2 linked regions of the Xenopus tropicalis genome follow. The protein of the gene in region 2 interacts with the protein of the main gene of each other region in a biochemical or structural test. Links are inferred from orthologs where the notes say so. Each region holds a gene or a part of one and is shown on either strand. Other genes may lie near its edges.

Region 1 (4,621 bases), on a different chromosome or scaffold from region 2:
TATTTATAAAGTAGATGAAAGGCAATCTGGCAGGCTTTAAATCCCTGTATTAGAGAAAAACAGGGCAAGTGAGGCAACTAGCCATCTTCAGTCAGAGGTATCTTTCATTTTTACTGACAATATAAACTGCATGTATGAAAGCAAAGTTTATTGTGCTTAAAGGACAAGGAAAGGCAAAGGGACTTGGGGGTGCCAAAATGTTAGGCAAGCGTTAGAAAGCGGCGCAAAAACTTTTCTGGCTTTGAAACCTTCAATGTATGATTTTGGAAGCCTTCCATAGGACTCAATGGCACTCTACAGATCCAACGTGGCCAAAAGATAGTCACGAAACCAAAGCTTGAATGAATTCCGAAATGGTCCTAGTCTTTGCAAAAAATACGACTTTTTCGAGAAAGTTAATGAAAACCACAAAAAAGTAGTGGAATTTTAACGAAATTATCGTGGACATTACAAAAAGTTCTATAATTCTCTAATAAATGGCCCCAGAGAGACAATTATCAGTAAATGATCAGCATTCAGGGGCGGGCCAAGCCGACCGGGCGCCCTAGGCAACTCGGTCGGCCAACTCCGCCCACCTCCCCCCCGAACGGCGCATGCGCGCCAAAGCACAGGAGGCGGTGCAGGGGGGGGGGGGCAGGGCGATTAGATCGGTCATTGCCTCCGCCGCTAATGACAAGCGGTGGAGGCAATGACAAAGTAGCACTAGGGGTAGGCAGGAGAGGCTCCTGCCTGGCGTCCCTCAATCGTTGCGCCCTAGGCAGCTGCCTCTTCTGCCTACCCCTAGTTCTGGCCCTGTCAGCATTGTCTATTTTAGTAGCTGCTACTAGTAGCCCTGTGTGTCTTCACCCTTATAGAAGGAGGAGCAAATTCTGGAAGCCCTGTTAATACATTGAGAGGGGGGAGCTGGGAGAGATGTTAAGGTAGAAGGTGGGTTTAGTTTCCCTATGACTCAGTGTAAAGAATAAAGGTAAGCACTTTGGAATACGTCATGCACATAGTCAAAGTTTCCAATATCATGCATGATCCTGGGCCCAGTTAAACACACCCTACCATGCAGATTTGAATGCAGTCTTTTAAATGATGGGCACACAACCTCTACCAAGTAAGAATGTTATTAATATTAGTATATTCAACAAGGCCTTTATGTTAAGAAAAGGGTTAACTATCTGTGGCTTGTACTGCCTTTCCCGAAAATTATAATTTTAACTTTGCTATCATTACATTTTGCTATCATTCCACTGTGATGCAAACATCCCCTGCTAATTCCCCTGCTAATATGCCCTATAACCCTACTCTCGGAAGATTAATATGATAATTGTAAAGATCAGGAAATAGACTTGAGCTAGAAGCGAATTAGGGCTAAGCAGCCTTCAGTGTTGCAGAACTTTACCATTACACTAACGCTGCTAGCTCTGCTGCCTGGGGAAAGCTGGGAGCTGTAGCTTTAAATTGACTGTAGTGCTAAAAGTTGTTGAAGTTATGCCATGTGACAGCTTTTACCCTTTAGTGGCTTTCTAACTTGACAGAGATAGTAATGAGTCTTACAAAGGTGGCTCGTTAAAGTAACCCCCAGTACATACTTTCTGCCGGTTTCTCCCATGCTTAGGACTGTTTCTTCCTCACTTGGGCCATGCGGACCAGAAGATGGCAGCAGCATCATTTCCTATGGTTTGTCAGCTAAAAGGACCCTGGGCTCTTGCTCTCCTCTTTCCTAGTTTGAGACCATCCTCCTCCTCCTCCTCCTCCTTCTCAGTCATGGGACAGGAAGCAGGGCTGGGCCTGATCAGGGCTTCCCTTCCAGCAAGCAGAGCTGAGGTGTATTAGAGAGATCTTCTGAGCCGCACAGCGTTGCGCACATCTGCCTCGCCATGTCGGTAAGTGATCTGTAAATGTCGTTTAGCAGCAGAGGATCAGCGCTGCCCACACTCTCACCTGCAAACATCTGGAATCTTATCCGTTAACAGAATACTTAGTGGCAATTTTTGCAGAAATGTTTCAGTTTATTTGTTCCTTCCATTTTTCTATGTGTTTGTTGCAAACGAAATGAAAGTCTTGCTATTTCTGTTTATTGTAACTACGCAGATTGAGTTGTAGCATTTAGGGGTTCTAGTGCTGTGGGTATAAGCATACATTGTAAGTGACTTAACTAGATGAGAGGTAATAAGGATGTAAATATTGGTTTTTAAATGTAAAGAAATCTAATGTGGGTGTATATTATGCACGGTTAGTCAATTGGTTCCCAAACTGAGGGGCCAGCACCCAGACTGAACTACTACTTAAGCTGGCCATACACGCAACAATAAAATCATACGAAACTGATTTTTACATTGTGTGTGGGCTCAGAGCTATCATCTCGATAATTTTCTTACCATGGCGAATATTTTGGTTGAATGACAATAAAATCTGCGCATGTATTGTGTATCTGACAATATCCTTGGGGGACCACAATGAAAGTCACTTTTGTACCATAGGTATCTGCCAACTATTTTGTGTTCCTTCAACATAAAAAATAATCTTCAGCACACCACTTACATACATGTTCTCAAAGGGTGCTTGACTTCCACGGGCGCTCCCAAGCCTTTTTTCCATGTATCTTTGCAAAGGGAAAGAAACACACCACCAGTGTGTCGGCAATGCCTTTAAATAATTTATTTGCAGAAATGAACAAACAGCACAAGCTTTCGGGGGTGACCCCGACTTTGTACCTGAAGAAGGGGTTTGTTAATTTCTGCAAATAAATGATTTAAAGGCATTGCCGACACAATGGTGTGCTTCTTCCCCTTTGCAAAGATATTTTGTGTTCCTAACATCCTCTGATTTGTTATATTTAGAACTTTATCCTTCAATTTCAGTCTGAATGTTAGATTTATATTGTTGCACTTAAATGTACGATATCGATATCTGAATGTTCTGACTATGTATGGCCAGCTATACTTCTGGAATCTGATCTATGGGGATGCCCAATTGGGGGGCTACTGCCCCAGCCCTATGTTTTATCAGGGAGAAGGCCAGGGCCCCTCCAGTTGTTGCCATAGTAATGAATACTCAACTTCACTATTGGCGATATTTGTGAACTTGCATTTTGCAAAGTAATAGCCTTTGTTATTGCATTGCTGATTTTAATTGTGCATAGTGCACTTTTAAGGTGTGCTTGAAGATAGCACTAACTATTGGAGGAAAAATAACATTTTTTAGTAAGAAGTTTCATTACATACTGGTATAAAACTAATAAAGTTATAAAATTCACAATCTTTCTTCAACTGGCAGCAGTGAATGCTGAACAGTTTCCATGTTCACAAATGCTATATTCAGTTCACAGAAAGCATAAAATGTGTGCAAGGCCATACATTTTCGCATTGTGAATAATTTTCCATTAACGACTTTTATTGCATTCCCCTGCAGATGTGCACAGAACATGTGGCGGAAATAGCGAAATTATGATCTCCCAGCTTGATGTCATTATAATAATTATTATTAACATGTAATTATAAAGCGCCAACATATTCCGCTGTACAATTAATAAATATGAGCAGGGCTAATTTGGTGTCCCTGCCCACCCTGAGGCAGGCCTTCCGATACTTCATCACCAGTGCATTGAGCCAAAATTCTGATTTTGCTGCCCCTGGTAACTGCTGAGGCAAGTTCTCAATTTACCTCATGGCAGCAGCGCCCCTGGATATGAGCCAAGTGGGGCCCTGACCCCACCCCCATGCAGTGATTGTCTCCCATTCTACGTCAGTGACTTACAGATTTCCACATCTGCATTTATATGGTCTGAGCATGGAGCCACAAACTTGCAATTCTGGTTGGTTGGCATTTGCTGAGTAATATAATTAAGGTACATAATATAGAGATTACCTAGATAGCAGGTTGCTTGTGGACTCTCAAGTGGTCCATGTGCTTACTACAGGTATAACTGATCAGGACAAGGATTTTGACAACTGCTATTTATTACCTGAAACAATTTTTCTGCCGTTGAGCAAATTACATTTGAATGCCACTGCTGCTCCAGACTTAGTGTTTACAGGTCAGTTTGCTGAAACCAGATCTACAGAGGCAGGCCAGTTCTGAATCAAGGTCTAGCATTGTTCTTTACATAGGCTGCACAAAGGTCATGTTTGCTTAGAGTATTAGAGTTAAAAAAAAAGAGAGAGTGTGTATGGAATAACGCAATGTACATAGTACAGTAGCAGAGGATGAAAAAATACCCACCTCCATCAAATGATTGTTCCTATTAGTTCCTAACTGAGTCAGTTTTACAGTAAAGGCCAGCAACTAGATAACTAAAGCCGGCCATACATGCACCGATATTATCGTGCGAAACCTCGTTTTGTTATGGTTAAAGGATTTTGATTGGGTGCCATTGAAGGCGTCCAAACAAAATTTATGCTCAGGGCTGAATCGGCAGAAGGAGGTAGAATTTCTTTTGTTTCTACATCCATATCTAACAATTCAGCCCTGAAAGTCAGATGAGGGTGGGAACAATCACGAAAGATCGAAATTGCTATGTGTATGGCCACCTTAAGACTTCTGATTAGTGGCAGAACATACATATACATGTAATGTGGCTATTGGCCAATCACATTTTCTACAATGACCAATCAGTATCTTTTAGACTATG
Region 2 (3,823 bases):
TCAAAGAGCTGTCTGTGGTTCCGATGAGAGAATTTCTGTAAGAATTCTGTTCATTTAGTCCTTCTTCATTCTGCACTAGAACACTCTCTATATTATTCACTTTACAGCTGATGCCACATCCAGGGACAGCCTGGAAATCTGTACAATATCCTAACAATTCTGTACCAAGTTCCTATAAAGGAGAGAGAAATAAAAAAAAAATATTACATTCCACTGCAGTCCAATAGTACTTAAAGGGGTTGTTCACCTTTAAATTAATGTTTAATATGATAGACAGTAATATTCTGAGACAACTGTTTTTTATTCTTTGTTTTTTTTAGTTATTTAGCTTGTTGTTCAGCAGCTCTCCAGTTTGAAAATTCAGCAGCTATCTGGTTGTATGGTCTGAGCAACCAGGCAGTGGTTTGAATGAGAGACTGGACGCAGTGGCGTAGCGAGGGGGGTGCCGAGGGGGCCATGGCCCCGGGCGGCGTATCAGAAGGGGCGGCGGCGGCTCCTTCTCTCTTACAGGCAACAGGCGCTTTTATAAGGTTGCGCCCGTGCGTATGACGTCACACGTCAGCGACGAGGCGCAACCTTATAGAAGCGCCTGTTGCTTGTAAGAGAGAAGGAGCCGCCGCCGATGGTCTGTTGGGGGTATGTACTATGGGGGAAATTGGGGGCACTGTGTGGGGGCTACTGTCTATGGGGAAATTGGGGCACTTTCCATGGGGGGGGGCCAGGTCTTTGTGGGGTATTGTGTATGGGGGCACTTCCTATTGGGGGCACTGTGTATGGGGCAATTGGGGCTCTGTGTATGAGGGCACTTTCTATTGGGGGGCAAGGTCTTTGGGGGGTATTGTCTATGGGGACACTGTGTATGGGGCAATTGGGGCACTGTGTATGGGGGCACTTCCTATTGGGGGCACTTTGTATGGGGCAATTGGGGGCACTGTTTATGGGGGCACTGTGTATGGGGGCACTTTCTATTGGGGGAACTGTGTATGGGGCAATTGGGGCACTTTCTGTGGGGGGTCAAGGTCTTTGGGGGGTACTGTCTATGGGGGAACTGTGTATGGGGAAATTGGGGCACTGTGTATGGGGGCACTTCCTATTGGGGGCACTGTCTAAGGGCAATTGGGGGCACTGTGTGGAGGGGGCTGTCTATGGGGACACTGTGTATGGGGCAATTGGAGGCACTGTCTATGGGGAAATTGGGGCACTTTCTATGGGCAATTGGAGGCAATGTGTGTGGGGGGCACTGTGTATGGGGCAATTGGGGGCACTGTGTATGGGGGTACTGTCTATGGGGCAGTTGTATGGGGGGACCGTGGCCAGAATAGCGTTAGGGGGGCCTGGCCAGCATAGTGTTAGGGGGCACTGTGGTAGGGTGACCCTAATACTTTTTATGTCTGTGTGTCCTGTACTGATGGGAGGGGCCCCGTGATTTCTGATGGCGGCCCTGCCACCATGGGCAGCCACGGACGCACAGCTGAATCCACTTTTGACAATTATGACACGCGCACCGCATTTCAAATTCAATAAAAAAAAAAAAAAAATTTAATGCTGCTTTTTTTATTTTGTCTATTTTTTTCAAGAATAACTAAATAGAGGGGCGGCAAATTTCCGGTCGGCCCCAGGCGACGAAAGCCCACGCTACGCCACTGACTGGACGATAAACAGGAGAGGGACTAAATAGAAATAAAAGGGATGAAAAGTAACAATAATAATAAAAATGTAAGCTTAAAGAGTAATAAGGTTCTGTGTGTCTAAATCTACATCAGGTTGCCAAAGTGGAGGCCTTAATAACATCTTTGTATGCCATCATTTTAATATAATATGGCCTTGACATATGTGGTATGTCAAATAATCTACTCACTGAAAAGCATTGGGAAGCTTCAAAGCACTGATCTACTGGTTAGATTTACTGGAATAGTGCATCACAATGCGGCAATGGGATATCATATTTAGACACTGAATTACAGAGCTGATTGGTGCATTATGGCTAAAGATCAGTCCAAGCAGAACACGTGTTACCTCCTTGCAGTATTTTGTGACTGCCATTCCCAGAGGATGTTCGCTGCTGGCTTCCGCCGTCCCCACCACAGCAAGCATCCTTTTCAGAGGCATCTTCACCACGTCGCCTAGCAGCAGCACTCGCATGACTTTAGGTACCCCATGTGTTATGGTGCCGGTCTTGTCAAACATCACTGCCTTTATCTAGATATAAAAGTTCACAACTGTATTGCATATTAAACAAGTATTGAGGAGGTAACTTTTACCCATTGAGGTACCTATTGTAACTAAAGGAAACACAATTTATAGTGAATAGATGTTACATATACAACCTACGGCCCTTCCACCTATTGAAGTAGTTGTGCAATGTGACTTTGCAGCAGTCAGGACAGCATTGGGCATATTATCCCTTATAAAAGGATAGAACACACAACATACATACAGTACATCTTTATTGGTTACTGACCTTGTGAGCCATCTCTAGTGGTTCACCGCCTTTAATAAGGATGCCATTCTGAGCTGCCACTCCTGTACCAACCATTACTGCTGTGGGTGTTGCCAGGCCCAAAGCACAGGGACAGGCGATGCTCAGCACCGTGATGGAGGTCTGAAATGCCACACGTATTATAACCTCTGTCTTAGAAATATTTTTACTGTAACTCTGAAATGATATGGAAAAATAATATGTTAACAGGGCAAAGTAGATCGAGGGTGGATGTACTAACAGGTCCATTGTTTATCCAGGTATTGTTTCCAATAGCAACCAATATGGAGTCAATTTTGGCACTACCAATTTAACACAAACCTACCACATCAAATTATATTATACTCTGAATAGATCAATGAAAACAACAGTTTTAGGCTAATTTCACGCATGGCATTTTCTAGTGAAAAAACACTAGTGGATAAAATACTTACCGGAAAATATTTAATTATGATGTCAAAATTTACAAAGCCAATAATTATCCAAGTCACCAAAGTCACAACAGAAATAATGATGATAAAGGGAACAAAGTATCCACTTATTTTATCTGCCAGCTGCTGGATAGGTGCCTATAAAAGAGAGAATCAATTATAAGCACATTTAAAGAGTGATTTATGCATATGTCTGTGCACGTGTGTATAATATGCAGAATTCCATATTCATTCAAGTATTTTTAGCCATTTATATTAGGTTTTATCTTCCATATATTGGGCCAGATTCAGTTTTATATTTTATGTGTTAAAGTACTTGAACTGAATCTGGCCCATTATATTGGAAACACACGCAAAAGGGATCATACTAAATCTAAACATTTGATTTAAATAGCTCACTATTGGGCTCATTTAGGATTGCTAAGGGTGCAAGTGCTTGAGCACTAAGTGGTGCAAAATTGTGACCCCTAGGGCCCATTCACCAAACACTTGCTCCTGTAGGCGTATGTTGTGTTCTACAACAGTAATACAGGACTCCCCAAAACCTAGCATACCTCGGAGCTCCCTAAATATCTAAATAAACATCTAAATAATATACTGTATATGCAGCACTCCTGAACACATGTAGCACTACATGCAATGCAACATGGCGATTCTATCCCTGTTATTGGTTTGATCACCTTGATAGAGCAAGCTTCTACATCTACTCAACTACAATCCTCGCTGTAGACAATATTTTATCTGCTATACATAACCAGTACCAGTCTGCTAAAAAATCATTTAATCATTAAATAATCCCAATAAGATTGGTTTGCCTCCAGTAAGGATTAATTATATTGTAGCTGGGTCAAGTACAAGGTACTGTTTCATTATTACAGAGAAAAAGGAACTAATTTAAAAATTGAATTTTTAG

What was found.
Region 1: the proteins of atp7b (region 2) and atox1 form a complex in vitro, tested with the Homo sapiens proteins (3 studies listed by BioGRID and IntAct). The link is inferred for Xenopus tropicalis from reciprocal best matches to the Homo sapiens genes ATP7B and ATOX1.

Annotation. Positions count from the first base shown.
Region 1 is NC_030679.2:16,843,096-16,847,716, forward strand, and holds the start of atox1 (copper transport protein ATOX1), read left to right. Parts: upstream 1-1,785; 5' UTR 1,786-1,868; coding exon 1,869-1,874; intron 1,875-4,621. Other genes in the region: g3bp1 (ras GTPase-activating protein-binding protein 1), read right to left, coding at 1,581-1,660. UniProt on the Homo sapiens protein: Binds and deliver cytosolic copper to the copper ATPase proteins. May be important in cellular antioxidant defense.
Region 2 is NC_030678.2:150,000,256-150,004,078, forward strand, and holds part of atp7b (copper-transporting ATPase 2), read right to left. Parts: intron 3,049-3,823; coding exon 2,914-3,048; intron 2,657-2,913; coding exon 2,462-2,656; intron 2,200-2,461; coding exon 2,017-2,199; intron 173-2,016; coding exon 1-172. UniProt on the Homo sapiens protein: Copper ion transmembrane transporter involved in the export of copper out of the cells. It is involved in copper homeostasis in the liver, where it ensures the efflux of copper from hepatocytes into the bile in response to copper overload.